Linked DNA regions of Arabidopsis thaliana. The protein of the gene in region 3 interacts with the protein of the main gene of each other region in a pairwise test. Each region holds a gene or a part of one and is shown on either strand. Other genes may lie near its edges. The genes, in order: CAT7, CAT4, PUP3 and AT2G18480.

The links.
Region 1: the proteins of PUP3 (region 3) and CAT7 interact in a protein complementation assay, tested with the Arabidopsis thaliana proteins (one large-scale study listed by BioGRID).
Region 2: the proteins of PUP3 (region 3) and CAT4 interact in a protein complementation assay, tested with the Arabidopsis thaliana proteins (one large-scale study listed by BioGRID).
Region 4: the proteins of PUP3 (region 3) and AT2G18480 interact in a protein complementation assay, tested with the Arabidopsis thaliana proteins (one large-scale study listed by BioGRID).

What each region holds. Positions count from the first base shown.
Region 1 is NC_003074.8:3,310,086-3,318,756, reverse strand, and holds CAT7 (cationic amino acid transporter 7), read right to left. Parts: upstream 4,805-8,671; 5' UTR 4,789-4,804; coding exon 4,389-4,788; intron 4,326-4,388; exon of another isoform or gene 4,291-4,325; coding exon 3,722-4,290; intron 3,630-3,721; coding exon 3,398-3,629; intron 2,149-3,397; coding exon 1,595-2,148; 3' UTR 1,417-1,594; downstream 1-1,416. Other genes in the region: AT3G10605 (uncharacterized protein), read left to right, coding at 1-67, 398-416; AT3G10595 (Duplicated homeodomain-like superfamily protein), read left to right, coding at 5,942-6,210, 6,570-6,852; AT3G10590 (Duplicated homeodomain-like superfamily protein), read left to right, coding at 7,446-7,801, 8,069-8,333. UniProt on the Arabidopsis thaliana protein: Permease involved in the transport of the cationic amino acids.
Region 2 is NC_003074.8:923,533-933,253, reverse strand, and holds CAT4 (cationic amino acid transporter 4), read left to right. Parts: upstream 1-3,251; 5' UTR 3,252-3,553; coding exon 3,554-3,662; intron 3,663-3,748; coding exon 3,749-3,950; intron 3,951-4,030; coding exon 4,031-4,115; intron 4,116-4,345; coding exon 4,346-4,486; intron 4,487-4,574; coding exon 4,575-4,693; intron 4,694-4,779; coding exon 4,780-4,876; intron 4,877-5,075; coding exon 5,076-5,248; intron 5,249-5,366; coding exon 5,367-5,433; intron 5,434-5,584; coding exon 5,585-5,743; intron 5,744-5,965; coding exon 5,966-6,170; intron 6,171-6,301; coding exon 6,302-6,410; intron 6,411-6,703; coding exon 6,704-6,816; intron 6,817-7,080; coding exon 7,081-7,156; intron 7,157-7,236; coding exon 7,237-7,384; 3' UTR 7,385-7,698; downstream 7,699-9,721. Other genes in the region: RIF10 (polyribonucleotide nucleotidyltransferase), read right to left, coding at 8,348-8,659, 8,758-8,799, 8,889-9,006, 9,083-9,177, 9,261-9,368, 9,457-9,530, 9,655-9,721. UniProt on the Arabidopsis thaliana protein: Permease involved in the transport of the cationic amino acids.
Region 3 is NC_003070.9:9,858,605-9,865,198, forward strand, and holds PUP3 (purine permease 3), read right to left. Parts: upstream 2,965-6,594; 5' UTR 2,831-2,964; coding exon 2,141-2,830; intron 2,065-2,140; coding exon 1,699-2,064; 3' UTR 1,687-1,698; downstream 1-1,686. Other genes in the region: ATJ1 (DNAJ heat shock family protein), read left to right, coding at 45-101, 246-294, 375-444, 767-856, 1,289-1,373; PUP1 (purine permease 1), read right to left, coding at 3,596-3,958, 5,243-5,950. UniProt on the Arabidopsis thaliana protein: May be involved in transport of purine derivatives during pollen germination and tube elongation.
Region 4 is NC_003071.7:8,007,638-8,015,025, reverse strand, and holds AT2G18480 (Major facilitator superfamily protein), read left to right. Parts: upstream 1-3,748; 5' UTR 3,749-3,782; coding exon 3,783-3,897; intron 3,898-4,032; coding exon 4,033-5,444; 3' UTR 5,445-5,925; downstream 5,926-7,388. Other genes in the region: PERK4 (roline-rich extensin-like receptor kinase 4), read left to right, coding at 7,259-7,388. UniProt on the Arabidopsis thaliana protein: Plasma membrane sugar-proton symporter.

The DNA.
Region 1 (8,671 bases), on a different chromosome or scaffold from region 3:
GGGAATGGGTCGACTCTCATGGGCCAGTCCGATTCAGAGATTCCGTTTCTTCTCTTACTTATCTCAGGTTCTCTTCGTCTCTAATGTTTCTCAACAATTCTTAGCTTGAGTATAAGAAAGAAAGATTTGATTTTTCAGATGAAGAAACTAGGACAACAATCCAACCAAAATAAAGTTATCTCCTTTAGAGTAGCATTGATGATTTGCCCAAGCTCCTGACTAAACGAATGTCTCTTGTGTTTACTCTTATCTTGCTTTGTAGCTGAATGGAAGAAGAAGCGTTTTGGCTTGCTCTGGCTAAGATTCGATTTTGTGAAGTTACAGTTTGATTCTGACTTGCTTTTGTTCTTCACTCCATTAGCTTTTTATTTATCTAAAAAGGACTTGCTTGTACCAGGTTATTGCGCTTATCTTGATGCAGAGAATGCCATGGATCCTTCTCTAGCAGAATCAATAGGTGTGAACACAGAAGAGCTTCTGATATCACGACCTGATTCTGCTGAAAATTACGGACAAAGACTACACACCCTGACCATTTTTTGTGCAAAACACACCCTTACATAGAAAACGTTTTTGATATCATTTTCTTATCACAAAACAATTGAAGAGATGAATTACATGCTGTTTTCAATTTATTGCAACTCCAAATCATAGTTCAAAATGGACCAAAAAGTCAATTTTCGAGACAACTGATTTAAACGGGCTTTTAATATGAGGCCCATTTTAAATCAGTGGGCATAGAATCTATCAATCGGAACAATTAAGACAATCGTTTTGAATTTCAGCTCCTTGTGATCAAATTCCATTGTTTTTGCTGCCAAACGAACAACACCAACGTTATCCATGTTTTTAGTTATGACTTAACAAATTGGACATTTACAAATATTCGATATAACGAAAAGGAATAAAGCAAACTTGATTTGTGCTTTTATTGGTGGAGGTGTATAACAATATCCGATCTTGCAAGATGCCAAATACTTGCTGCTGTTTTTAGCATCTAATCTAAAGTATCATCCCTTTTCTAAATTTTATGGAAATATAAAAAAATTCATTTATTCACAAACTTTATTGCCATCTTTATCTTCTACGGTATTATCCATTTTAACAAATCACTATTAGATACATGTCACTATGATCAAAATTCAAAAGTTGATAAATACTTTTGTCAAACCATTCTACAATTTTGTACAGTTATATTTGTTGGGTTGTCTTTATTTAGTGGCTTTCGAATATTTGTTTTTGGGAGGATTACAAAATATTCTATATCTGTAAAAAGAATGTCAAAATCTAATTCTGAAAATCAAGATACAATCTTTCAGAAAGAAGAAGTCAGTCAACAAAGATGGAGAAAGAAACTATTTCAAGTTGCAACATCTTCAAAAGCAAGAAAGTGAGATTCTATTGACTACACTGAAAATGGACTTCACTAGCTTCTGTAAACATTACATCAACCTCTACTCTCTCTAGTCTAGGCTCCTCTAATTGTCCAACACAAAATGACAAATTCGTTTTGTTTTTGTTCAGATAGACAAAATTGCATGTCACCAAGATTTTTTTCCTTTTGGTCAAATTGTCACCAAGTTCTGTTTATTAATTAACTCAACACTCTGTTAATTCTTTCAAGGCTTTCCACGTCTTTGAAATCAAGAGACCCGTCTCCTTCAGCATCATAGCTTGCATGAACACTATAAAACACATACACGAGCACCACTAATCCCGAGAAGAACCCGAATCTGATATACGAAGGAGCATCCAATGATCCAAGCAAGAAAATGTTCAAAAATATCGAAACGCATGGAGTCCACGGCATCAACGGTACACCCCAAAACTCAGGGATCCTAGCTTGAGGTACAACACAATGGAATATCTGGACGATGGCTATAGCCGTGACCGTGCTAGCTCCAAGTATGAACCATTTAGGTGGGCCCGACGGTGCAAGTTGCCAGACCAAGGTAAACAAAATTGAGGTTATGGAGAATAGGCAGAGGAAGGAGAGTGTTGGCCATGGCTCCGTGTATCCGACCGTTACGTAACGGCGAAATATAACAGCGTTTGCGACCATATAGAAGACGAAGAGCGTTCCGATGGAGACTAGGTTTAGGAGGACGTTTAGGTCGGTGAAGAGGGCGAGAACCGCCGTGAAGATTCCTGAACAAAAAGTATAGACAAGATTAAAGAGTTAAGCAGAGGGATATGACAAGATCCTTATTCTTTAGTTAATTTAATCAATCAGATTAGTGTCTAATAACGTAGATATATTCCAAGATGTTTAAAGGTCGATTATATAAATAAAATGAAGATATTGCAAGAATCTGTTCCATTAGTTCACTTGTGGAATAAGACACCTTTTTGTGAAAGATTTTGAGCTTTTGTTCCACGTTCAAGATCTCTCTTGGTCTTTGTTCAAAAATATTATAAATCAAAGTCTAGTTACATTAGTGGATGCAAAATTTGGTAAACTACAGTTGTTTTATTTGAGGCTTAGAGTATGTGTACAAATTCTTTTATTTATTTATTTTTTTAGTTTTTGGTTTACAGAATATAGTATCCAAAACTTTTAGAACAGCACTTTAAATTTGGAATAAATATATAAGAAACCAATGCTTATAAGAAGGAATATGCAATTGAAAACAAAACTGTGGGTCTAGATTCGCTTCCACGACTCATGCATTTTGGTAAAACTATAGTATAAAAAACGATTCCAAAATCTTACTCACCAATATCTTAACTAAGATGTTATACGTAAACGTTGCATATAAAGAGTTGGAAATTTGAGAGCTTGAAAAAGAGAAAATGCTTGAATACATAAACTAAAAAACAAAAAAGGACCAAAGAGACTCAACAATATGTCCCAAACAAAACCGTTGAAAAGATTGAAGCCATTTGGTGAACACGACCACGAGATTTTTATCGTATACGATGCTCTAAATTAAGACCCAACACCAAAAATCATATAAGAACAAAAGACTATGGCCTACATTAATATAGATCACACAGTCACACAGCTACAAACCACAATCCCAAACAAGATCAGTTGGAGAAATTTTATGTTTTAAATAGTAAACAACAAAATTCAATTTTCTTGATTTCTCCTTCCCTACGAGTATATGTATGTAAAATCACGTGAAAAGTAAGATCAACAATACAATGAAATCCAAAAAGATCATGGAAACAAACAAACAAACAAAAACCCAAAATGGATGTCCCCACTATCAAACTGTCTCTTTATCACTTGATGAAAATAAAACAGAGAAAAAACATAAAACCGATCTTTACGAAAGGAAAATTCCAACATAACCTTAAAAATAAATAATATTTAACTTATTATATTTGATCAAAGATGTTAATTTTAATAGAATGAAAATAAATATGTTTGAGAGTAAGGACAAAAAGTTACCAAGAAAAGCGGAAGCGTTGACTGGAGTAGATGTCTTGGGATGAACCTTAGCAAACCAAATGGGGACAACTCTTGACCGTCCGATGACGCACATGTACCGAGCCTGACCCAACATGGCTACTATCAACGACGTTAATATCCCGAAACTTGCTCCAATCCCAACCACTCTCGTCACCCATTCCCATCCTTCCGATTTACTAAACGCCGCCGAATACGGTGCCTCCGCATCTATCTGCTTACGTACACACAACCACACCAAATCATTCACCCACAAAACCCATAGAAAAAAGCTTAAATTAAAAATGTGTATTTGATGGTACGGACCAGATCGTACGGGAGAAGCATTGACATAGAGATAGCCATTAAACAGTAAAGTACAATGACGATTGCGACTGAGCCAGAGATTCCCATTGGTATGTCTTTGACTGGGTCTTTTACTTCTTCAGCCATTGTCGAAACGGCGTCGTATCCTATGTAACTTAGATAAACCATTGCTGCTCCGTTAAACACACCCGAAACTCCAAACGGGAAGAATCCGGATGGGTTTTCCGGGTTATCGGGTCGGGTTAAATTCTTTACGTCTCCTTTCGAGAAACCCATGACGATCACGAATACTATAAATGCAATGTGTAACGCCGTTAATACCATATTCACCTTCGAACTCTCTCTCGTACTGTAACAGATGACGAACGTGACGGCGAGGACGACGATAACGGCGATGGGATCGATTTCGTTGAATCCGTTTGGGAGACCGGAGACGATGAATCTCCACTCCGATGTTGAGATTCCGAATGCAGATCCGAGATAAGCGGTGAATCCTCTTGAAACGGCGGCGTTTGACAGTACGTAGTCCATTATCAGATTTGCTCCGGTTATAAACGCCGGAAACTCGCCTGTAACGGAAAAAAATGAATGATCGGAGAGGAAAAAATGAAATTTGAATTTCTCTGCGATTTGGGAGTTTTGATTTTGGCGGGAGAATGTTACTGACCGAATGTGATACGGATGTAGCTGAAAGCACCGCCGGCGACGGGGAGGTGAACGGCGAACTCGGTGTAACAGAAGGCGGAGAGTAGAGCACAGAGTCCGGCGATTGCGTAAGAGACGACGATTGATGGACCAGCGTAGAGACGACTAGCACGGCCGGTGGTGACGAAGACTCCGGCTCCGATCATTCCACCGATTCCGAGTCCGATGAGATCGTACCAACGGAGAGTACGACGCATCTGCTCGCCGGAGACGGCGCGGACGCGGCTCATCTCGTCGTAAGAGGTGGAAACGGAAACGGCTCGGCGGGAAAAACGGGAGGGAGTGTCGGAGAGAGAGTTGAGGTAGACACGGAGGCTAGAGAAAGAGGTGTCTCCGTCGTGGTTCCGGTATTGGGCCTCCATTTCGGGTCGGGTCAATATGTAACGGATTATAATGTTTTTGAGAGTAATTTGAAACAAGTGGTTTTATAATGTGAGATTGCAAAAGACTGAGAGACGAAAAAAAGAATTAGACGCTTTTTGGTGTAATTTATTACAAGCTTTGGAAACGCTAATTATTATTATTATTTTGGTCAACTTAGTTTTATTATATTAAAGTAGCTTCTATTTTTTTGTATTCATAATGATCAGTGATCACATAAGCATCGACTAAAATAAATAAATCACGTAAGCATTAACACAAATATTCTATAATCTGTTCGGTCTCCCAATTTTTATTATTTGAGTTTAGACGGCAAATATTTAATTCCTAGTATAAATAATGAATGCTTATTTTTCCTTGGACAATGGTCGATAATAATCACAACTTGTTTGTTTAACGAATGCAACCAACGAACATGGATAAAAATGTTACTCTTTTAAGTATCAGAGTGACCAACCAGTAACCGGGATCGTTGCAATCCGTCGCAATATTCACAACTTGGTGAATAATTATGATTGATTATTTTCCTTTTCGTGTGAAGAGAGTTTGAAAAAATAAACAATTTTTTGTTTCTTTCATGTTAATGAAAGTTCTTAATTTCTAAAGTTTTGACTATTTATTTTATTTGTGTGGTATTAGGTCTATAATCTTTTGTATGTTAAATTTTTAATTTTTAACACGTGTGAAAACATAAATTTGTTTATACACGTGTTATAATCTAATTGGCTGTAACACGTATCATAATTCTGATTGCTAACACGTGTGAAAATAAAAATTTATTTGTACACGTATCATAATCTAATTGGCTAAAATCGTCAATATTATAAAACAAATTTAATAAAAAGGATATAGGAAACTAAATGAATGACAATAAATCAGTAGAAAGAAATAAAATAAAGACTTTGTATGCAATATAGCAAAATCTGAAATAAAATTTACCCTTTGAATATAAGAAAAAGGAAGGAAACTTAATACACCCCAATTTGAGAGAAGAGAAGCCATATATTTTTTGTTACTTGAGTTGATTTATAAGCTGCCATATCCCTTACATGAGTTATTATATATACTGTAGTTCTCCAGATTCACACCATTCTGTTTTGTAGACTTCATTTTCCTTAATTTGTTTTGGGAATCATGGCTGAAAATTCATGGACGACAGAGGAGAACGAGATGTTCAAGGATGCACTGGTGATGTTCACTGCCTTTTTGCTTACTCGGTTTGAGAGTGTCGCCGAGTATGTGGATAGATCGGTGGATGATGTTAAGGAGCATTACAAGGAATTGGTCAATGATCTTTTAGAGATGGGATCCAGTCGAGTAGCTTTTCCTAATGAATTGACTAAGGATATGGCTCAAAGTTCGTACCAGGCCGAGAGAACTATATGGACCAAAGAAACACATGAGTAAGTATATAAGATTAATGAGTGATGAGTTATGATTTTTGTTAGTTAGTGGAATTTACATACACGTATAAGTTTCAATTATAAACATAATGATTGATTAGTACTGGTATTGGTTTGTGGATCTAGCTAGACGCATTCTCCTCTTAGACTCCATAATTCACATAGTTCATTTCTGAGATTAAAATGTATTTAGTCCTATGATCTTACGATTTACACATTCTAGCATTATTTTTTTAATGTGGACAATATAGTTTTTTTTTTTTTTTCATTTGACTCAATTTATATCGTTAACTAATAATGCCATGGTGAAACTTGATTAAAATGGGCTGATCTATGAACTGGTGGAAATTGTAATGCAGATGGTTTCTGATTGGGTTAGACCGATTTGGGAAAGATTGGCGTAAAATAGCCGTCTTATTGGATTGCAAGAGCCCGATCCAAGTCGAGATATATGCAGAAAACTTTTACCAGTGGCAAAGCTCAAAGAAAAATGTGATTAACGACTTAAATGTGGCAAGCACCGATGTGAATGTGATGAAACGGCAGGGAGCAAATAACACCAATGTGGACTCAACAGGCCAACAAGAGAGTCTCGTCGCTCTGGAAATCGGTCACCATGCTAAGGCCCCCAACTCAAAGTGATATAAATCTCTATGACTGTATTAACAACCAAAAAATAAAAAGCCTAAAGATATTGAAGGCCCTTGATTATTTTTTTTGTGTGGTATGTTAAAGATTTGGGATTTCCATTTTTTTGGCAAACCATATTTTATTTAATTTTGTGGTCATCTATATTATTTTCTTTAACCATTAAAATAATATATATTTCAATGTTTTTATTTTTTGCTTTATTTCATCTAGGCTAAACAGAAGATACACGTAAGATGGAGCTTTCAAGTTAAGTACGTAGTATATATAAAGTTGGGGTTAAATAGGAAACTAAAATAACTTGAAATTACACTCCAAGTTTTACCCACTGCGTACGTCTAAACGTAAACGAGAAGAAAACTTCTGAGTCAAGTTGTGCGTGTTTAAATACGAAATCGTGTTTCTTTTTGTAAAGTGAGGGCTAATTTTGTAATTTTCACCCATTACTTGATCCTCTATAAATTGTCAGGTTGCCAAAATTAAAACGAACAAACAATCGCTCTTCCGTAACATATTCCACAAAACGATCTTCTTGTTTCTTGAATTTTTAGCCATCTCTTTTTTTTTTTCTCATTTTCTCGGATACTATGGCTTCGAGTCCACGCTGGACGGAGGACGACAACAGGCGTTTTAAGTCAGCTCTGTCGCAATTCCCTCCGGATAACAAGCGTTTGGTGAATGTCGCCCAGCATCTGCCGAAACCTTTGGAGGAGGTGAAGTACTACTACGAAAAGTTGGTCAACGATGTTTATCTGCCGAAACCTTTAGAGAATGTCACCCAGCATCTGCAGAAACCTATGGAAATGGAGGAGATGAAGTACATGTACGAAAAGATGGCCAACGATGTTAATCAGATGCCCGAGTACGTACCACTGGCGGAATCGAGTCAGTCCAAACGCAGGAAGAAGGATACGCCAAATCCTTGGACAGAAGAGGAACACAGGTTAGTCATCAAATACTTATGAATTAGGGTTTCTTTTGATTGAGGAAAAGTCTTAAATCTTGAGGAAAAGTATAAGTTAACAGTTCAAATCTCACAAAAAATGATTAGTTTGGGTTTTGTTGATTAGGGTAACGTATACAAGTATTTTTCTTCAGATAGATGTAATTATCAATTTGATTTATATTAATTTTAACATGATGATGCTGATTATGATAATATCTAGGTTATTAATTCTTATGATTTTGATTGTTTAATGATATATTTCAGATTGTTTCTGCAAGGATTGAAAAAGTATGGGGAAGGAGCTTCGACGTTGACATCAACGAATTTTGTGAAGACAAAGACTCCACGGCAAGTGTCAAGCCATGCACAGTATTACAAAAGGCAAAAATCGGACAATAAGAAGGAGAAACGCCGGAGTATTTTTGACATAACTTTGGAGTCTACCGAGGGCAATCCAGATTCTGGAAATCAGAACCCTCCGGATGATGATGATCCGTCCCAAGGTCAAGGCACTTGTCTTGGAGTTTAGATGTTGGAAGATAGAAGAATGGTGTGAAATGAAACAAGCAACGGAACTTGAACTCAAAAATAGATAATATATATATATATATATATAGATTTAATATAATAAAAAAGGAACTTCGCTTGTTTTCTGCATATGTATAGGATTGCTACGTAGTTTCGGTATACAAAAATATCAGTTTCACTTGATGATGTTCAAGTGTATAGGATAATTAATGATTCTATCAAGTATATGTTAGTTTTTATTTTAAATAGTTTCAAAACATTAAAAAAGCCAAGATATTATATTATATATAAAGTAAGTGAATATGATCACTAATTAAATGATCAATATTTAGTCAAACC
Region 2 (9,721 bases), on a different chromosome or scaffold from region 3:
TCAAGTGTTTTGGACTTAGAAAGGTTTGAAAAATCGTACTCAAATTATCTATATATCAACAACTAATCCTCTTTAGATGGTTTTGTTTTTGTAGATAAATTTGGCTTTTAGTTCCCATCAACATTTCTTCCATGGGTTTAAGTGTTGATCATGAGCTTAACAAGTCATTAGCTATATCAAATTACCAAAAGACTGATTCTCAAAACCGATCAAGAAAGAGCATCATTTTATAATCTAACTCGTGTAGAGTACTGAAATTTTGATTTGGAAATTAATTCTCACCGACTTAACATGGACCAAATGTACTTGATGTGCACCGACTTAACATGGACCAACTTGGTCGATATCAATACAATTCTGGACATCTAGAGGACGCTTATGGTACGTTGATTAGGCTTCCCGTGTGTATTTTGCTTGTGATCTCGGCATTCCATTGCCGAAGGTTCGAGGATGCGCGCATTCTTTCGATTGAACTATCTACAAACGCACCCAAGCTTGATGACGCTGATGACAGGAAAGCAATCCATTATAAATCCTTATGTGGACGAGGCTTAGCCAACATGGCTTTAGGCCACTATTACACAGCCGCTGTTTTGGTACGTAAACTCATATAGATATATTTATGTTTTGTTTATAATTATGTTTGGTATAACTTATATTCATCAATATTTATTGTTTTCGCAGTTTGCGCATTTGGTCAAATGCTATGCCAAGTGGTCAAAAAACTCTTTTGACCTCTTTACTTGGGAGGATTTGTTCATGTACACGGCATGGTGTGGTCTTGCCACGATGAAAAAAGATGAGCTTGAGGTAATACAATATTAATCGATTATATATATATAAAAATAAATAAGCCGACTTGTAAACTTTTTTTATTGATGATTTTTTAGGAGATTTCTGAGAGGATGGGAAGTCAAAAAGTTGGCCACCATTTCCAACACTTGATTAGAAAAACTCTTGGAGGGTAATATATAACTCTTAAAAAATTTCTATTGAATACACTTGTCGGCAATTAAACAAGCTTGGTTTATTTGTTGCAGGATGTTTAAACCACCATGCTTGGATTTTTTGAAAACTCATTCAAAACCAAAGCACTTTTGGACTTATACCTCCACGACCATGTGAATGCTCTTGAGATCCTCATCCAGGAGAAATTTAGGGTGTGATGCATGGTTGCTTTAAAACTATCTAGTTTTGTCTTTTTTGTAAGGCTACAGTATTTTCTTGTCTCTCTTGGAACAAGAGTGTTTGCAAGTTTTCTTTTATATTCAAGTGTGTTGGACTTAGAAAAGTTTGAAAAATCGTACTCAATATCAACAACGAATCCTCTTAAGATGGTTTTGTTTTTGTAGATAAATTTGGCTTTTAGTTCCCACCAACATTTCTTCCATGGGTTTAAGTGTTGATCATGAGCTTAACAAGTCATTAGCTATATCAAATTGCCAAAAGACTGATTCTCAAAACCGATCAAGAAAGAAAGCATCATTTTATAATCTAACTTGTGTAGAGTACTGAAAATTTGATTTGGAAATTAATTCTCACCGACTTAACATGGACCAAATGTACTTGATCATTTTCAATATAACAAACTAGTGCACCGTACCGTATTATAAAGTCTTTATGTATTTTTTTTTAATATAAAAACATTTTCAGATATATTTATTTCCAATAAATTCATTTATTTTAAGAAATTAACCAAAAAGAAATAAAAATGAACAAACATATATAAGTATCTTGATTAGAAGAAGCAGGAGACAAACCCTAGATGAGTGAGTCCGAGGAAAAGACATGCAACGACGATCCAAAGCAGCCGACACTTGTCCGAGACCTGGTTATATCGATCTTGGATCGCTTGAGATTCTCTGATTTTCATCGAGCCAGATGCATTTCTTCAGAATGGTATTACGCCTCGAAATCGTGCATCAGAGTAACAACTCCATGGATCATAATGTTTCCATACAACACAGATTGGAAAGAAAATTCATCATGTAAGTTGTTCAATCCTCGTGACCATAGTTGCTACACTTTAAGAGATGTCGGGTTTGATCTAGCTAGTAGTCGTTGTTTGGCCAGTTCCGGTAGATGGTTCCTTATGTTAGACCATAGAAACGATTTTCATCTCTTGAATCTGTTTACTCGAGAGAGGATTTATCTTCCTTGTCTGGGTGCAACCGATGGATGTCCGATAGAATTTTGGAGAATCAATAATAATAATTTTTGGGTGACTCTCAATGACCAAAACAATTCTGCAAAAAAAAAAAAAAACTTCACATATGGTCATGTGTCTTAGAATAGGCAAAGCTGTTTTGTGGGTAGATGAAGAAACCAGAGACTACTTAGTTGTTTGGAATTATGATGGCTTTTTTGCATATCACAAGAAAGGAGATGACAAGAATAACTGGAAAGTGATTCAACCTTTAATGAATCAACGATGCGTGGATATGGTGTGTAAAGAAAGCAAGCTTTACGTGCTTACTGATACTCACGTCACTGTTCTTGATTTCTCCCACGCTGATGCTTCTCCAATACAATGTGCAAGTTTCAAATCTCCGAATTATGGTAATGATTCGTTTTGCGGCAAGAATCTTGCTGTGACTTTGTCAGGACAAGTTTTGATCGTTATACACAGTGGGGGTGTCTACAAGATGGATCCTAAATCATTAGAATGGAGCAGAACCAATTCTTTAGGAGACGAAGCATTTATTTTTGATCTAGGAATAACTGTTGCAGCCAAAGATGGAGTTATGAAAAATTGCATATATTTTTATGCTGACCCGCCTTATCGACCTAGGAGGAGGTTTGTACGCAATGCTGAAAGCGGTATTAGCGTATACCATATTAAAACCAAGAAAGTGGTCCAAGTGTATCAACCAGCTCTTACTGCTTCGTCTCCAATATCTTTCTCTTCTGCTCGATGGTTCTTAAATAGTTGCTTCAAACCTAAATCAAGTTTTGTCTCTTGGTAAAGTTTGGAGTATTTTCTTTTGTTTTGTACTGGAACAAGATTTGTTGCAACTTTTCTTTTTTATATATTCAAGTGTTTTGGACTAAAGGATTGATGAATTGGAGATTAGACGGGTGATTATTGATTGTCTATAACATTTGGGCGTAATCTGTTATAATTTACATTACCGTTCTGTTTTTGGTAAAGAGAAGATCCACATGTCCATCAATTTTTACTGTGACATTGTAAAAAAAGTAAAATCTGTTAATCTGTTTTTAAGCTGAGGTGCAGATAAATCTCTTAGGATAGAGAATTCATGAATCAAGAGTTGCCCATTGCACAAATTAGCCCAATTGTTAATAAAAAGGAAGAAATAAACAAAATCACAAAAGTCATCTAAACTTTGAAGAATCTTTACCAACGAGAATCTCACAAAAGTTGGAATCGTGCACGCCTCTCGAGTTATCTCCGGCTCCGATACTCCATCTGGTGGATTCTGTAGAAGAAAAAATTTCAATCTTTGTTGGATTTTCTGGGAAAAACTCAGATGGGTTTGCTCTGAATCGATTGGAAAATCAAACCGGTGTGGACTCTGCAAAGTTGGTTGATATGAACAGTCTTGTGAGAAGAAAACAAGTTGATTCTGTTCATCTTATCAAAAACGATGGACCTCATCAGCTTGCCAAGAAACTATCCGCCGTTGATCTTGTTGCTATTGGTATGAGAAAGCTTCAAGCTTTGGCCAATTTTGATCAAAATTCCTTATGGGTGTTGATTGTGTTCCTTTCGGTGTTAATTTGTCAGGAGTTGGGACAACAATTGGAGCAGGAGTGTATATTCTTGTGGGAACGGTAGCTAGAGAGCACACAGGACCTGCTCTTGCTGTATCATTCTTCATTGCTGGAGTAGCTGCTGCTCTCTCTGCCTGTTGTTATGCTGAGCTTGCTTCTCGTTGTCCATCTGCTGGGAGTGCTTATCATTATGCGTACATTTGTCTTGGAGAAGGGTATATATATATGGATTTTAATAGGATTGACCTTGTTGTTCGTCTTAAAGCTGATACTCATGGATTTTCTTATTTCATAGGATTGCTTGGTTGGTTGGTTGGGCACTGGTGTTGGATTATACAATTGGTGGATCAGCCATTGCCCGTGGCATAACTCCAAATCTGGTATTTGCCTTTGAGTTATATGTGTTTGGTTTCAGTCAAGAAGTTAATCACTTAGCTCCTTTTCTTTCTTTTTTCAAAACTATTCTCAGCTCTAATTCTCAAACCCAAGATGCACTTGTTGTAAAAACGTTTTTCTTTGGAATATAATTTAACATTATTTTCAAAAAAAAAATATATGTATTTGTGGTCTTTTGTTGATTTAATTCTGACTGGTGTTTCTTTTGTTTTAGGCATCTTTTTTTGGTGGTTTGGACAATCTTCCTGTGTTCTTAGCTCGACAAACTATACCCGGGGTTGGTATTGTGGTTGATCCATGTGCTGCACTTTTGATTATGATTGTCACGATACTACTATGTTTTGGGATAAAGGAGGTACTTTATTGAAGACATTTTAAATGGATTCATTTCAGGATTATCAGATCGTCTAATAGTGTTATACCGGGTTATTTTGTTCTTACAGAGTTCAACAGTACAAGCAATTGTAACATCAGTGAATGTTTGCACCTTGGTTTTCATCATAGTAGTTGGTGGATATTTAGCTTGCAAGACTGGATGGGTTGGATATGATCTCCCCAGTGGGTAATTAGCCTGTTCTCTTCTCCATTGAGCGTAGCTTTTGTCAAAAGTTATTTCTTAAAGTCAATGTTTAATACTTGTCTTTACAGGTACTTTCCTTTTGGACTAAATGGGATACTTGCCGGATCTGCTGTAGTATTCTTCTCATACATTGGATTTGATACTGTAACTAGTACGGCTGAGGAGGTATACAGTTTATTGAATAATACTCTCATTCTTTTTGATTTATTATCCTTCTCTTTTCTCTACAAAGGACTCACTTTGACGATTCCATATAGAACTAGTAATAAAGGATGATTTTTGGTCTTAGTATAGTGAACTTTTTTTCCATAATTCTGGCGATTTTCTCTGTTAAGCTCTTAACCTTTTGGTATTGCCACAACAGGTGAAAAATCCTCAAAGGGATCTTCCATTGGGAATCGGGATTGCATTACTGATATGCTGCATTTTGTATATGCTTTTATCAGTAGTTATTGTTGGATTGGTCCCATACTATTCATTGAATCCTGATACTCCTATCTCCTCTGCATTTGGAGACAGTGGGATGCAATGGGCAGCGTAAGTATGATACATCTCTTGACACTCAAATTTCTTTGTATTAATTAGTCACGATGCATATACACATACTTCCTTTTGTCTTTGCTTTTTTTTTTCTTATTATTCCTATATATTTCAGGTACATCTTAACCACTGGGGCAATAACTGCTCTATGTGCGAGTTTGTTGGGTTCCCTTCTGGCTCAGGTACTAACCAATTCTATCGTTCTGAAAATCCAAGTTCAAGAGATTTTGTAATTGAGATATCTTAGTAGTAAAAGTAACATGCTGGTTCTGTGTGGGTTTTGGAAATGCTTACATGTCGTTTTGACAGAGCTTTGTATTTTTTTTTTATTAGCCACGAATATTCATGGCAATGGCTAGGGATGGATTGTTGCCAGCTTTCTTTTCAGAAATTAGCCCACGAACTCAAGTACCAGTGAAAAGCACAATAGCTATTGGTGTTCTTGCCGCTGCACTCGCATTTTTCATGGATGTTGCACAGTTGTCCGAGATGGTAAGCTGGTATTTGCCTACATTACATGTCTCAAGTCTTAAGGAAGGATTTTCACCTACAATTAGTGGCAAACAGAAAATTGAGGGTTCATTATTAGTAGTATAGTTTTGATATTGTTGAAGCAGTTAGTATTATATAATTTAGTTGAGACACGCCTAAACACACTCTATTACGGTAACAGATCCTTCTCTGAGTAGCTCACATCGGTAATTTATCCAACAGGTTAGTGTAGGCACTCTAATGGCATTCACTGCCGTTGCAGTCTGTGTGCTAGTTCTTAGATATGTACCACCAGATGGAGTTCCCCTATCATCTTCCTCCCAAACTTTGAGTGATACCGATGAAAGTAGAGCTGAAACTGAAAATTTTCTTGTGGATGCTATAGAATCTTCTGATTCCCCTCTACTTGGAAATGAAACTGCTCGAGGTACTAAAATGTGCTCAATCACGTAGTTACCATTTGGATATGTTGTAAAGATACATCCAACAATTCAATCTTTTCTGCCTTTTATCTGCATTTAAGAAATATGACTTTTTTGCTTCTTTTTAATTGAACAGATGAAAAGTATTTTGGAAAGAGGAGAAAAATTGCTGCCTGGAGTATAGCTCTTGTGTGCATAGGTGTCCTAGGTCTTGCTTCAGCAGCTTCAGCTGAGCGTCTTCCAAGGTCGTTTCATCATCTGATATCTTATGTCTGTATAACCCGTCCTGCATATATTCCCCACATCTAATTATGTCTACTAAACAAATCTATTTAGTTTGGTTGAGATGCTTGATTAGCTGTGAACGATATCACTGCTACTTGCATGTCAAAGCGGTTAAGTATGCTCAATTAGAAAATGCATTCCTGTTTCAGAATTTTGTGAAGCACTTTTCAACTTGCTGTGTTGAAAGATTTGCATGTTATTATCTTTGTAATATGGTTATGAACTCTAATGGGTTATTTCTTGACTTTTGCAGTTTTCCTCGTTTCACTATATGTGGTGTCAGTGCAGTCATCTTGCTTGGCAGTTTGATTACTCTTGGCTACATTGACGAGGATGAAGAAAGGCACAACTTTGGACACAAAGGAGGTAAGGCCTGAACCTTATTCAAGCCTTTTTTTTTGCCTACTCATACATCACAAAATGAGAAGTTTAATTGAATATAAGATTCAGCGAGCCATCAATTGGTTGGTCTTACTTTCATCAAAAACGCTGCTTAGTTATTAGTTTCTTGCTGAGTTGGTTATTACCTGGTTAGGACGAAAATTTTGAGGTTTTAGCAAAAACCATAAACTTGGATTTATACTTGAGCAGCGTTTTCTAACTGGCATTCTATATATGATTCTATTTCAGGGTTTCTCTGCCCATTCGTCCCATACCTTCCAGTTCTTTGCATTTTGATCAACACCTACTTGATCATCAACATTGGGTGAGTTAGTCTGATGGACCCATGTATGATTCAGTATATTGGGATGTTTCTAAACCCTTGCTGGTTATTTGTAATGGCAGAGCTGGGACATGGATCAGGGTCTTGATATGGCTACTTATTGGAAGCATGATCTATATCTTCTATGGCCGATCTCACAGCTTACTGAACAATGCGGTTTACGTTCCCACAATGACTTGTACGAGAAAAACAACAGATCATCTTGCTTAAGATTGGTGGATCAATGCTGCAGTTAAAGGGACTCGAGCTCAAGCTTTGTTGTTGCTGAAGTAGCATCTAAAGAGAATTAAACAGTTTGGCACAAGAGTAAACACAAGCCAATATATACAACAACATTTTATGTACATTGATAGTCATTCCATTTTCATGTACACAAGCCAATGTATATCTCTTAAATGCCAATTTCATGTTTTATTCCTTTTTCCATTTCCAGTTATAAAGTTTGCCAATATTGGTTAAATGATCTTGAAACTGCCAAGTCCATCTAGTAAGTCGAAACATAACAAAAACTGGGAAACTTTGATACTCTGCAGATAAAGAGTGCAAGAACATTTAAAAGTTGCAGATCATCTTGCTTAATATGGGCGGTTCAATGCAGCAGTTAAAGGGACTCGACCTCAAGCTGTTGTTGCTTGTACAGGCTTAGAAATATATGTGCTCTTGTTGTGAAATGTATCCAGTTATATAGTTTTCTTCACTTAGCTAAGTGATCTTTAAAACTCTTGAAGTTGCCAAGTCCATCTAATAACTCGAAACATAACAAAAATTGGGAAACTTTGACAAGCTGAAGAAAAATCATCTATCCCAAATAAAATTTAGTCAAAAACATTAATATATCAAGTAACCTAAACGGACTAATGAGTTTGCAAGAGAGAAGACAACAGAAAGAACTGATGAAATGTCTGAGAATCTCCCAACATATGACGTCTTCAAAAATGTTATCCTCCTCCACACCAGACTTGCCAACATATATGCACAGCTTCAAGAAACTGCCAAGAAACATAATTACAAAACATTAGAAAAAAAATCAAGAAAAGACATTTGCAACTTGTCTTGTCTCAAGTTTTCAAGATTTCTCAAGTCGCACCTGTGGTTCCGTTGGAAGAAACTCTCCTCCTTTCGTAATGAGTCTCACGAGACACAGATATGAACAGTGATCTTGTTTGCATTCCACTAGCTGATTGTAGCTTCACCGTTGACTAAACTTTCTTCGTTGGTACTGCTATTGCTATTCATTGTCTTGTCACTACTACCACCAGTTGCTCTCCTTACATCTTTCTTCTTCAGGACAAGTTCATCCCCAGATGAAACCTTTGATGCTCCTGCAGCTGCACGGTCCTTTGACGAAGTATTTACATATTTCCTTTGCGAACTCTTGTCTTTGGTAGAATCACCTGCCGGCTGTTGTTTCTGACTGTCTTTGTCTGTCTCTGATTCGGGAAGTAAAGCCCGTACACTAAGTCGAAGCTGACCCTTTTCATTTACCTGCATTATCCATGTTTCTTTGTTCAACAACTCTCTAATTATCATTTCCGATTAGTTATATTGTCTCTTGAGTTATAAAGACACAATAACTCGCTGACCTCTATTAATTTGACGTCAATGCGGTCTCCTACTTTATAGGCCTGAAAGGACAAGAATGAGCGTATGTGAAAACCTGAATAAAAGATGAAACAATTTCTATAAAGGAAGGGAATCAATGAGTAATGCTCACATCCTCTGGTTTTGCAAGCCATTCAGCACTCAGCTCACTGATATGGCAAAGACCTTCCCGCCCAGGCGCTATCTCTACAAATGCACCATAAGGAGCCATTGACTTGATTTCACAATTCCTGATACAAAAAGAAAGGTAAGAATCCAAATCTATTTACGCTTTTTGGTCAGAGAAGGTATATGAAGGATACATACCTGTAGATATCACCAACAGAGGGAACCATTGTCAATCCACTAATAATCGCTTTCGCCCTTTCTAGACTCGCTACATCAATTGCCATAATTTTGACCTTGACAAAGATAAATATTAAGAAGTTAGGATAAAGAATACCCAATAAATATAAAATCACATTTTTTTGCATGTATATCTCACAGTTCCATCATCTTGCATGTCAATGGCCTCAACTCCAGATTCTTCAATGATGCTCTTTACTTTCTTACCTCCAGAACCAATAAGAGAGTATACTTTGCTTGGATGAACCTGCAGCACATGAAACGCCAACAATCTTTAGTTCAAGGCAGAAAGGCATTAGACTGGGCAATCCTGGAAAAACTAGTTGAAGCCAAACCTTCATAATAAGTATCAATGGAGCATATTTTGAGAGGCTTAGCGTGGGAGGCGGTGAGCACTTTGCCATTTCAGCTGCACAAAAAGGAAAAAAAAAAATATAGTAAATTACATCTTTTGTGGCATACATTTTCCAAGGAACTAAATCTCCCCAAGTCTACTATCTTGAGACTAATAATTCATGAATAACATTCCTTACCAAGAATATGGCGACGCCCAGCTTTTGCCTGTATTAGAGCCTTTTCCATTATCTCTAAAGTAATTCC
Region 3 (6,594 bases):
CCCTTGAGCCATACTGGACATGTCTTAGAAAACTTATTTGACAGGCTATTTTGGGGGGCAAAGTTGTGGTGCCAACACTTTCAGGCAAGATACAGCTAGATGTAAGATTCGTCTCCCAGTGAGATTCATATAATATTTTGTTTGTTTATAATTTGAGTCAAGTTGGTTTTCATCCTCTGACCAAGAGGAAGGTTAGATCTCAAGGCTTTGGAGATAATAGAGGTACCTTATTGTAATTGTTGCAGATACCAAAGGGGACTCAGCCTGATCAACTTCTTGTTTTAAGAGGCAAAGGTACATATAATTATCAGCCTATATGTTCAATTTTTTTTGTGTATTTGCGTGTACTCTTCTTAATAGGTTAGTTCCTGCAGGACTACCGAAGCAAGGCTTTTTTGTAGATCATGGAGATCAGTATGTTCGCTTCCGCGTTAACTTTCCTACGTAAGATTTCTTTTACTTGAAGTTCAAGTAATACACTTGTTGGAGACATCCACATTATGCTATGCTAAAAACTCTACTAGTGTTTAGAATGGAAAAGACACTTTGTTGCTCTAAAGTTACGGTTTTTGAAATAATTTTCCTAGGACAACATTGTGTTAATTTCCCTGCCGTCTGATTATTAAATCTGATTACATAAGCTTCTTGATGTTCTGGTGGCATGTGGATGTGTTGGATTCTCTTCTTTTCATTTCCGTCAAGAGCTAATATTGATAGATTTCTGGTATATGCTTATGCGGTTTACTTTTTTCCTTGTATCTACTAGTGAAGTGAATGAACGTCAGCGTGCTATACTGGAAGAGTTTGCAAAGGAAGAAATCAACAATGAGTTGAGCGACTCTGCTGAAGGAAGTTGGTAAGTAAATTTTATTATTGTGTTTATAACAGCATATTGTGTGTAATATTAGATGGTTAGACGTAAATGGACATCTGGTATAATTCACCTCAAAGGAATGTAGTTGGTTACAATAGAAGAATTAGTGATGCTTATACATTACTGGTACATTTTCTAGGCCTGCTTAGAAATAAGAGTTAGAAAAGGCGGATATGTAGATAACAACAAGACATAATTGAAAAATGAGATACCTAGGTTCTCTTATAAGAAATAACTAGAAGCTCTAAGGGAAACAGTGTAAGAAAGCCAAAATGTCTGTTGGGGCTTTTTCTTTACATTTTGATTCAACTGAATGTTATTTCCTCACTAGCGATTGTTCCTTATAGTAATGAAGAATCATGAATATGAACCAAACAGGCTTTACCAGAAGCTCTCTACTGGTTGAACTTACAGGTGGAATCTAACGGGTCCTCAGATCATCCGCGACTTCTCGTTAATGGTGCTGCTGGCGCTATTGTTGAGCAGGTTAATGGGATGAAGCCACCACGAGAGATGAAAGATAAAAGCATTCAACAGAAGACAAATGAAGACTAATTTCATCTATTGCTGGTAGAACAAAAAGCTCACCAGCATAACAGAGAGTGTCATTGTTTGACCTCATAATTCTATTACAAACTCATTTGATGTGAATAATAAGAGACATCAAACAAGTTAAGCTGAAATAAAGAAAAGAAAAAAAAAAGTCCTTTAAGATTGTGTTTTCGGCATAATCCCACAAGTTTCTCAAACATATCTTCTAATCTACTTGGCGGAGAAATGAGTGCTATGATGTCTTTAAACGAAAAGCCATGCTTCGTTGAGTTTTAACACTCACTTATGGGTCTTGACAAAGAAGATTGTTCTGTCTCCTGACTCTCCTCCTGCTGAATTCTCCTTTTATCCTCGCCAGACTTTATCTCACCATAAAAGTAAGAGACAAAGCCCCAAAGGGAGAGAGCAAGAGAAAGTCCCTTCTCAGCTTGAAACTTTTCATGGTAGAATATAACAGCTAAAACCTCTGTAATTGGCAAAAGCACTGATATCATAATACCCGAGACGAGAGACGATGTGGAGAAGATTAATCCAATGGCTCCCAAGAAGAAGCCTTGCCATATGATGGCTGAAAACACAGCCACCACATAGAACAATGCCTCTCCAAGCTTGAACTCTCTTGCTTCTTTTGGTAAGGCCTGCAAAAACAGTAAAGGGCTCAAGTCTCTGTTAAAAACTCTTTTGTATGTTTTCAGATTCAAAAGAGTGACTAACCTTGAAATCACCAGCGATGAACATACCGATGACGCTGACAATAGAAGCAAGGAGACACAAAATCAACTGGAACTCGAGCACAAGGGTATAGCTCATGGTTTGCTTAGCTTTCTGGTAAGCAAGTTCCACTAATGGCAAGATGAAAGCATACATAACAGCTGCTGCTACAGTAATCAAGAAACCAGTTATGTACTGCTTGTGAGTCTCATGAACTGGCTTATCAGTTTCGGTATGCATTCCCAAAACCGCAGCACCAACAGTCAACAACACAACAGCATTGATGGTAAAAGGAGTGAACTTATGTTTAACCATGAAGAATGAGAAGATAGCTATAAAAGCTAACTGTGAAGCAATGATAAGAGCAGCTGTAGAAACTGGAAGATAAGCTATACCATATGCATACAAGTAGTTATCAAACCCTGAGAGAATGCCTACAATAACAGCGGCGATAAGAAGACGCGGTTTGATAAGAAAGAAACTTGTACTATCACCCACATTGTTGCTTCTGCGCCGGGTAATGTAAGAGAAGAGCAGAGGAATGAAGATAACAGGAAAGCCTGCAGTTTCAAGAAACGTAGAGAACCAAATCCTTTTACCGCCATTGTTGAAGTAGAGACGCATAATCAAAGGACCTCCACAGTTTCCTATGGCTAGAATTATGCAGTTTATGATCACAAGAGCCTTCACCATTCTTGTCTGATTTCTTGTGGATAATGAAGGTTGGTGGTCGAAGGAGTTAGTTATAAGGTTTGGTGTTGCTGTGTTTTGGAACAAATTTGGTCCGGTTTTAGATTCTGTCGTGATAGATCTTTGTGTTTCTTTTTACCTAACGAGGCTTCAATGGCTAAAACATGACTTTTCCTATTTTATACCCATAAATTTTGCTAACTGTTTAATTTCGTATAAAAAACGTAGTAATTATCTTATAGACCAGATAATATCATATCTCTCATATTAATTTACGTTTCCATCAAATTCTACAGTTTTGATTATTGGATTTATTTCTTTCTAAATTTAGTGCAATGACATTAAGATTTTCAGTTCATAATTCTCTCTATAATTAGAAGATTTTAAGGATGGTTAATTGGTTCTTTGACTCTATCTCTTTTGTTTTCTCTTCTTCTTTCTATATTAGTTCTTTGATTTATATACAAATTTTTATATTAAATAGATAAATTATATTAATCTTAAATTAAAAGTGTGAAATGTTTATTTTATAAAATCGATAAATAGGATGTGATTTTATCAAATACGAAATATCCTATCTTTTACTTATCATTATCATTCTATTTCTACTACAAGTGTATTAAAATTTGCATTTATCAAATAGCTCAATATCTTTCAAATTTATTCATACTTATACACAAGAACAATAACAAAACACACAATCACACATAATATTAGGAACAAAACATAACAGTAATGCTCTGTTATAATCCTATAGAGTTATAGAAATTAAGCAACATAATCACTAACAGGAAGAATAGGCAGTTCTGTCTCCGGCGGTTGAGGTTTATCAACAACTTTCTTGCCGGATTTAAACTCGCCGTAGAAGTAAGAGACAAATCCCCAAAGAGAAAGAAGTAGAGAGACACCTTTCTCTGCCTGAAACTTCTCCCGGAAACAAACGACGGCGAAAACTTCAGTCACCGGAAGCAGAACACTTATCAGAACACCAGAAGCTAGTGATGATGCACAAAACACAATCCCTATGGCTCCTAAGAAGAAACCTTGCCATATTATTCCTGTGATCACTATCAATGCATAGTAAAACACTGATCCTCCAATCTTGAACTCTCTTGCTTCTCTTGCTATCACCTACAAAACATGTATGATGATGATTTTAGTTGATTCTCAAGTTTAATCATAATTTTAAATAGATATGGAAATACAGGATAAAGGTTTGAACAATTTTTAAATAATGTTTCTAATAAAAGATAAGGAAGACAAATCATATATATGAAAGTTGGCCAACTCTCTCCATATGATTGACACATCATCACTTTAACATGTGCCATGTGTCCACATAATAATTAATGTAAGCTTTCAACTTTTAATTTATAGATTAATGATGTATTTATTATTTAATTTTACATATTTAATTGTACTAATACTAAATTTATTTTGTTATTACATGTTGTTCAATAAAATAATTTTATTGGTTTTCTCATACTCAGAAGATTTTTTTCTGTAATCTTAACTCAAATTATGAGTGTATAGTAGTCATGGATTAGTTAATAGTTTGAATAGTTTGCATATTGTTATATATCTATATAATAAATCGCCGAGGGTGAAGAGTATGTAAGAAATTTAATCATCAAATTCTTAGGTTTCGAGAATTCCAGTATTACCCTCTATTTAATTAGTTTAAGATGAACATTGTTTAGGAATTGTGTGTATAATGCATTGTTGAGAATGTTGTTAGAAAAAATATATTTTAATACTAAGAATAATTACTTATTACATAAGTAAATGATTAGATAATTAAAAATTATATTTAAATTATACGATACAAAAAATCTGAAAATACCGCAGCGTAGCGCGGGTGATTACCTAGTATTACATAAAACCTTATTGAAATTGTTAAATATTTTATAAATTGCTCAAACCTTTATCTTGTATTTTATATAATATTTGTTTTTAATAAAAGATCAGGAAGACAAATATTACATAAAATCACATATTTTATTATAACCAGGAAATCTATATTAAAATTGTTAAATATTCTATAATATCCATATGTATTTAGAAAATGTTTAAATACAGATACCAATATATCTTGGTTGACTAGTATAGTCTAGTACCAATGATTCTGAAATAATTTCTATATATATAATTGTTTCCATGGATTTTCTCCATTAATAATACAAAAGAACAAATCTTAGTATTCCTCATTTCTTGGGAATCCAGACTAAATTTTGGCCTCTATCATAAAATGAACAAAAAAACTATATAATTTAGAAAAACATTAAAAATAGAGAATCCAAAAACTCAGCTAAAGTCTTCATCAAAATCTGCATAATATTTTTTTTATCAAGATCATCCCATGATACTCTCTCTTATACTAAAAACACAACGTGAAAAAAACTGTAAATTTCTTACCTTAAAATCTCCAACGATGAACATGCCAATGACACAGAAAAAAGTAGCAGCAAGGCACATGACCATCTGAATCTCAAGCACAAGTGGGAAAGTGATTTCTTGACGAGCTTTCTTGTAAGTTAGCTCAACGAGCGGTAATATAAAAGCATAGAGAAGAGCTGCAACCACAGTCATCAAGAACCCAACCACATACTCTTTCTTGCTCTCCTTAGCCGGTTTGTCTCCATCACTGTGTAACGCAAGGATCCCGATACCAACCGTCAACAAAACGACGGCGTTTATGGAGAACGGAGTGAACTTTTGCTTGACTAACAAGAAAGCGAAGAGAGCGTTGAAAGCTAGTTGAGTTCCGATTATGAGCGATGAAGTTGAAACTGGCAGATATGCTAATCCGTAAGAATATAAGTAGTTGTCAAGTCCTGTGAGCAACCCTATGACAATGGAGGCGATAAACAGAGGAGTTTCCATGAGGAAGAGCTTTGTTTTCCGCTTGTTTTCCGCGTTGTTAGGGTTGCGGTTGCTGCGGCGACGGCTGAGGAAGGAGACCAAGAGAGGGATGAGGATGATTGGAAAACCAGCGGTTGATAGGAAGCTCATGAACCAGATTCGTTTTCCGCCATTGGTGAAGTAGAGACGAGTTAACAAAGGACCTCCACATGTTCCTATAGTGAGGATAATACAGTTTATGATTATCAAACCATTCTTCATCTTCTTCTTGCTGCTTGCTGTTTTTGTTGTCCTCTGTTTTGGCCTTTTTGATGATATTTCTCATCAGCTTGAGGGGTCAATGAGCAATTATATGTTTTTCATTTTGTGTGTGTTTTGTTTGTTTGTGGTTTTGGATCGTGTGATACATTGTCAAGGAAGTTGGGAAATTAAAACGGTGGGACATAACATAGCGGGCGCGTTTGCGATTTTAAAACGTTATACTTACTACTAGGGTTTGAATTTCCAACTAAGGATGGTCCTTTGTTTTATCGTGATAAAAAAAGAGACGTGTTATTTTCTGCTCTACATACATTGAGTATGACAAAAGAAAGAGTTGAATTGTGGAGATAGAAAAAAACAAATCGTCTCTCTGTGTTACGCTAAATTTTCGTTGTGTGTATAAAAAGCAAGAAAACAAAATTTCGAGAAGAAAAAACAGACGTGATTTAAGAGAAATATCTTTATACTTGGTTTTATCTTTAGATGAGGATATTGTTATAGAAAAGTTATCTTGATTAGAAATTTATCTTTAGTATCCATTTGTCTTCGTTTACGGACTATTGTAATCAATCATTTTGTCATATGCTTTAATACATGGAATGCTGACTTAAGCTATTTTGTTTGTAGACTTGATTATTATTTGT
Region 4 (7,388 bases), on a different chromosome or scaffold from region 3:
ATTTGCAGATCGAGACGAAGATCACTAATTTCCGTTGAACACCAACAACATAGTTATCAAATTCGATGCCAAAAATTGCAGACCTAGATCGAAAAAAAAATATGATAACTGGGTTTAATTGAAGAAGAACAGCTCCTTCGCATATCTCACATTCCCACCATTTCTCTTGTTCACTTTCAGCAGCATCAACAACGTCACTTTCAGCAGCATCAGCATCAACGTCACTTTCTGAACTCGTTTCTCTTGTTCGCTGCGTCAATTGCAGAGGCAAAGCAGACAGCGTTAAAAGGCGAGAAAAGCAGCGAATCAAATATCATATCCTAAACAGTCAAATAATTCAGCTTAAGCATAGATGTTCCTAAATTCACAAAGGCATAGAGTTTTTTGTGCCAATCCCATAATTGATCCCCAAAACAAGTCCAAATATTTTCAAGAACTTTATCACCATGCCACACAAAAATCATAGATGTGTTCTTGGCTCTTACACAAACAAAATAAGGAAAAAAAACGAGTCCCAACATTTTCAAGAACTTTATCACCATGCCACACAAAAATTCGTACCAACAATTAGTTTGGCCAATTTTAATGGCCTCCGTTACATTTTGAATTGCGTCCATCACTTCATCCCACTTACAATACTTTGTCCCCTTAAATCATTACAATATTTTTGTAACCAAATAACTAAATCTTTAACCGGACTGCCAAGTGCCAAGTGATCTCAAAATCAACAAAAATTTGCATTTTCTTACTTTTTTTTTTTTTGAACGACATTGTATTTTCTTACTTAATCTGAAGTTATAGATAACTAATAAAGTGTATATCAAAGTTTTTTTCAATGTTTAAAAAGACGCGAACACATCTAACTGGAAGTGTGCCTCTTGTCTTACGGATGTCCTTCTAGTAGAACATCTATAAAAATCTGAAAATCTTTCGGAAAAACAAAAAAAAAAACTTACAAATTGTTTTCCATCTAATCACGAACTTGATCATCAGTTCTCGTGATGTTGGAAACAAAAACTCAAAATATCATCACTTCATGTGCATTTGTACTAACACATGCATATCAGTGATTCGTTGGGTTCTTCAATTTTAGTAAAAAAGTTTTTTTTTTATCAAAACCATTTCTAAAAAAATTCAATTAGAAATTACGATAATTTTGACAAAATAAGGGCTACTTTCATTATTTATTATTTATGAATTTTGAAAAAATCCTAATGTGTTGACATTGTTCAAATAAAGAACTAATAAAGTTTTAGATGGAAAAAAAAAAGAACTACGTGTTTTTTTGGTGAAACTTTTGAATAAAGTAATAAGACCTACCCATATGATGATCTAACCTACCCAAGTTATCACTTGTATCGGAAAGTCCCCAAACTTATCTTTCTGGTTGTGTCGGCCAAATGTATCCCAACTAATACACACAATTTCACTTTGAATTTCTCTTTCTCTTCTTCCAGAAGATTTCTCCTTCTATCGTTGACCTAAATGATTGATCTGTCTTGGTTATTTTGTCACACGATGTGTATGCCAATCAGCTTTGGACTACAATGCATGTTAAGGTTCGTACTAAAAAAAACTCAGCATGAAGAATGTTGGTTCGAGGACTTAAATTCTGATCTGACGTAGCTAGTCTATCGATTATCTGCCTTTAAACCAAAGCTTTTTGGATTAAAGATAGGTAATCCGTGCGTTGAAGGTATATCATTTTCTTACCCAACAAATTCATTTAACCTCATAGTATAAATTTCGTTTGGTTTTGATTTTTGATAGCGACAATATATGCCTTTTCAATTAAAAGTGAAAAGAAAAAAACGCATGCCATTTACTTGTTTGAGTAAGTTACTCATTATGGTATATGCTCTTCAAGAAAACAAATCAAATACTACTTTTTCGTCACGTATCTTTCTTTTTCAGCTCACCAAAATATAACTTTCAAGGAATCATATCAAAACTTTACTATTTACATGGATTTTGTGCATTTGCATAATTTACGTATACAAATCCCAAAGGTTAGCGTTTTTGCCAACTATATATATAGATACTAGCTAGATGATTATCCAGATTTACTTCTTCTTTTTTAATAATATATATATCGTATATCCATTAAATGTGTAAACCTTTACTTCTAACAGATTTAGAGATCTATAAAACGTATACACTAAGAATTATTTAGAAAAACTAGAAGTTTGAAATAAGTTATTGTCTCTCTAATACACCAATATTGCTTCTTATGTTCATTACAATTTTACAAATGTATGCTTACCAGATTACAAAAGCATGTTGAAAATTCGAAGTTATGATACCAATTTATTAGTAGCGAATGTAAAAAAGACTAAACATAAATTGGACGTAGTCCACCAAGATATATAATGTTATAATTAGCGGGGTAAAATATTGATTTAATACTGGAGGCGTAATAACATCTTGTTTCAGAATTCCAACAACGTACGAGTAAGAAAAACAAAAATACAGTTCTCAACAGACTAATTGGACGTAAAACTCTAGGCCAGCCAAACTGACAAAGCATATGACAAAAATATAAATGATAGAATTGGCAATTTCAGAATTTTCCATCGATCATGCTAAAATGAACATTAGTTGGAACCCAAAAACATTTTTGTTTATCTTGCACATACAAACAGAGCTATAGGTTACGTTATGACTTATGATGTTCTGATTTATTGATCAAATCACACATCAGTTTTTTCCCAACAGATATCAATTTCATTATGTAATGATACATATAGTCTGATAGTATTATTCGTCTGTTGAGAACAACGGCTTTTTGTTGGATACAAGTTTTTTTGTTTCGTCAAAACAAGTTTAATTTTGGACTTCATCACTTCAATAAGAAAAAGAAACCAACTGAAAATAAATGCACCGTATAAATTTAGTTCACCAAATTATATAAATGTGGAAAAGAATCTTTAAAGGTTACGCCACTATTGAACATAGATCAGGAAAATGCCGAAAGTGAAGAAGATGGCGACTTTTAACTTACAATATTAGCAATATTTTTGGTCATATCGTATTAAAATTGATGACCTACCATTTAAAAATGGTGGATATAACTTCTTCTAGCATATGTTACTATAATGAATGATCAATTCTGAATTCTCATACATATGACTTCACAACGGAAACTTTTTGCTTTAGAGTTTCATAAATAGTTTACGACATACAATTTTTCATGCATTCCACTCACGAGAACAACTTTATACGTAACATGCAATTGCAAAACTACAATAATCGGGTTTACATGTAACATAGCATCTAATAAAAATCTTCACTTCCTTTATTAAAAAATAATAAAAATTGAAAACAAGAAGACCAAGTTCAAGTTCAACGAAGGTCGTCACAAATTATTTGAAGACCGTGTGCGAAACCATTTTTTAAACTCATTGTAACCTTTTAATTATTATTTTAACTTACGTATGTATTGGTTAAAACTTAAAACACTTGCCTGATTACACTACTTTTTTTTTTTGTTGGAAATCTTTTCAATTTATTTTGCTCGATATACTTCTCAGGTTGTATACGTCTAAATCTTGAGGAAAATTCATATCTTGCAGAAATATAATTCTCGTACCAGAATACGTGGGCACCCACAAACACTGTGGAACAACAGTAGAAGTTTTTGATCGTCATTGTTCCACTATGGATGCAAGTGGTGGACATATATAGTTATGTGTATATATATACTAGTAAATGCACACAATCGATATAACAAGTTATTCTAAAATTTAACCCAAAAAAAAAAAAAGAGAAGAAAAAGACTCAACATGGTTCATGCTGATGGTCATAATTTTCCCGGTTCGGATCCAAACCCTCATATGAACAAGTTCGCTTTCGGGTGTGCCATTGTTGCTTCCATCATTTCTATCATCTTTGGATATGGTAACATACTAACATTCTCTACATATCAAACAAAAGTTTTCTACATATATCATATAAAGATATATTCAATGGAATTATATTAATGATTTTATATTAACGAATATTTTTTTTTTTGTAATGGTGTGTTGTCCTTAGATACGGGAGTTATGAGCGGAGCTCAGATATTTATAAGAGATGATCTAAAAATAAACGACACTCAGATTGAAGTTTTGGCCGGAATCTTGAATCTTTGTGCACTCGTCGGATCACTAACGGCGGGGAAAACGTCTGACGTCATCGGCCGACGTTACACCATAGCTCTCTCCGCCGTGATATTCTTAGTGGGCTCAGTTCTTATGGGTTACGGCCCAAACTATCCTGTTTTGATGGTCGGACGATGTATTGCCGGAGTTGGTGTAGGGTTTGCTCTCATGATAGCTCCGGTTTACTCTGCCGAGATATCCTCTGCGTCACATAGAGGCTTTCTCACTTCTCTACCTGAGCTTTGTATTAGTCTTGGGATTTTACTAGGCTATGTCTCGAATTACTGTTTTGGGAAACTGACGTTGAAACTTGGATGGAGATTGATGCTTGGAATCGCAGCGTTCCCGTCTTTGATATTGGCTTTTGGGATTACAAGAATGCCCGAGTCGCCGAGGTGGCTTGTGATGCAAGGTAGGTTAGAAGAAGCCAAGAAAATAATGGTTTTGGTATCCAATACGGAAGAAGAAGCTGAAGAACGGTTCAGAGACATCTTAACCGCTGCGGAAGTAGATGTGACAGAGATAAAAGAAGTTGGTGGCGGCGTTAAGAAGAAGAATCACGGTAAAAGTGTTTGGAGGGAGTTGGTGATAAAACCGCGACCTGCGGTGCGTTTGATCTTGATAGCGGCCGTTGGGATACACTTTTTCGAGCATGCGACGGGGATTGAGGCCGTCGTGTTGTACAGCCCGAGAATTTTCAAGAAAGCCGGAGTTGTTTCGAAAGACAAGCTCTTACTAGCCACGGTCGGTGTAGGTTTAACTAAGGCCTTTTTCATAATAATAGCCACTTTCTTGCTCGACAAGGTAGGTCGTAGAAAGCTCCTGTTGACCAGTACGGGTGGGATGGTCTTCGCATTGACCAGTTTAGCGGTTAGTCTCACGATGGTTCAGCGATTTGGGCGGTTAGCGTGGGCATTGAGTTTAAGCATCGTCTCTACGTATGCATTTGTAGCTTTTTTCTCCATAGGGCTTGGACCTATCACATGGGTGTACAGCTCCGAGATATTCCCGTTGAGACTTAGGGCTCAGGGAGCGAGTATAGGTGTTGCGGTTAATAGGATCATGAACGCGACGGTCTCAATGAGTTTTCTGTCGATGACGAAGGCGATCACGACAGGGGGCGTGTTCTTCGTATTCGCCGGAATAGCGGTGGCGGCATGGTGGTTCTTCTTCTTTATGTTGCCGGAGACGAAAGGATTGCCATTGGAGGAGATGGAGAAGCTTTTTGGTGGTGGGGGTCCTCGTGGTGATCGTGACGGACTTGAGATTCAAACTAAAACCATCTCTATTGGGGGTTTCTCATAAGAGTTTCTCACAATTAAAAAAATAAAAATAATAAAAATGAAGGAGAGAGAGTGTAGAAAGATTCTCAGAAACTTTGAGATACTCTCTACAACCCATCATGACAATTCGCTTCTCACTATTGGTTCAACTTTTTAACAAAAATATTTTTTTAATCAAAAATTCAAATTATAATATAATATTAATTTTTTTTTGTTTGAGAAACTTTGTGGGTTTCTCATGGATGGAGATGCCCTTAGAGAGTCAATAATTAGGTTAGATTATCATGGCTATGTAGAATAATTTTTAAATCCAACATGATTTGGCATATCTATTATAAGGTGTGATTTTTTGTAAAGGACAAAGTATGATTTTTATATTCATCCCTTTTTACTGTAGCTAATGAGAATCTACAACCTAATAAAAAACAATAACAATTATTTAATTATAAAATCTAATAGTTCACCAAAACAAAATCATATATCGGTTTGGATTTATAAGAGAGGGTTAAAGTTTAAATTTTATGATTAAACGAAGTTAAATACCAGTTTAGGTTTATAAACGATTTTAGATTTTAGAATCAAACGAGGTTAAATGTCGGTTTAGAGTTATAAACGGGTTTGGATTTTACAATTAGATGAGGTTAAATGTCGGTTTGAGTTTTAGAAAGAACGATTTAAGTTTAGATTTTACAATTAATCGAGTTTAAATGTCGGTTTGGATTTACAAAATAGAATTAGAGTTTAAATTTTGTAATTAAACAAAATTATATATCGGTTTGAGTTTATGAAATAGTGGTTAAGATTATAGATTTTATAATTAAATGAGTTTATTTATTTATTAGGTGACATATTCTAATTGGCTGAAAGAGGTGAATGAAAAGGTGAACCAAGAATTGTTCGATTTTTAACTACACATCTAATTCTAGACTCTAGAGTATGCATATTAATGTTTCCAGAGATCAGAAAGTGCTTAAACAAAACATATTGATCACTTCATGGTTTTTAAGTCTTAGTTTAATTGATGGAAAGGAGAGGATTACCAATACTGAAGTAGAGTCATAGTTGATATTTGAGGGGTGAGAACCCTGAGATTCGTAAAGAAATCGATGAACTTGTGCGTGAAGAAATTAGTTTGATCATGCTCAAAGGTCTAAATAATAAAAAACCTTGACATTTGTTCCCAATTGAAGTCCTTTAATTGTGAGAAAAATTATGTTGCTCTAGAGCAATATTGAAGAAAAAGGAGACATATCACATATGGGAAGACCTGAGGAGCAATGATTTGATTTGACGGACCAAAATAAACCAGAGATTTTCCTGACAAATTAAGGTAATAATGCATGAGGTTACGTGGAAATGAATCAACAATCGTTAGCTCCTAATATCACGGAGCCAAAAAGAGAAAAATTAGACCGGAGATTATTACAATTAGTAACTAACACAAAACTGTTATTAAGACAGAAAGAGAGAGAAGAGGCATGTTTCTCGGAATGAAGACAGAGCAAATCTCAATCTTCCTTTTTCACCTTATTCCTATTATCATTTTCTGATCAAATGTTCAAAAACTCTCTCCCCTTAATCTCTTCCTCTAAGGTACACACTTTCATGCTAATCTCTTAACTAATTTTGTATTAATCTCTTATATTTAGCATTACCTGTTTTGTTAACGATCTAACGAACATAATAAGACAAGAACTTGTTCCAACGTTAACACCATTTTGATTATGATCTGTTTTTTCTACGTGTTGTTGTTGTTGTTCTCAGAATAATTGAGTGGTTAAGGGAGAGAGGAGACGGAGAGTTTTTATTTTCGTTACCGGAAAATTTTGATCTCCGATGGCTTCTTCTCCTGAATCTGCTCCTCCAACAAACTCCACCTCTTCTCCATCTCCACCGTCTAATACCAATTCAACCACCTCTTCTCCGCCGGCTCCGTCTCCTCCTTCTCCTACACCTCCTCAAGGAG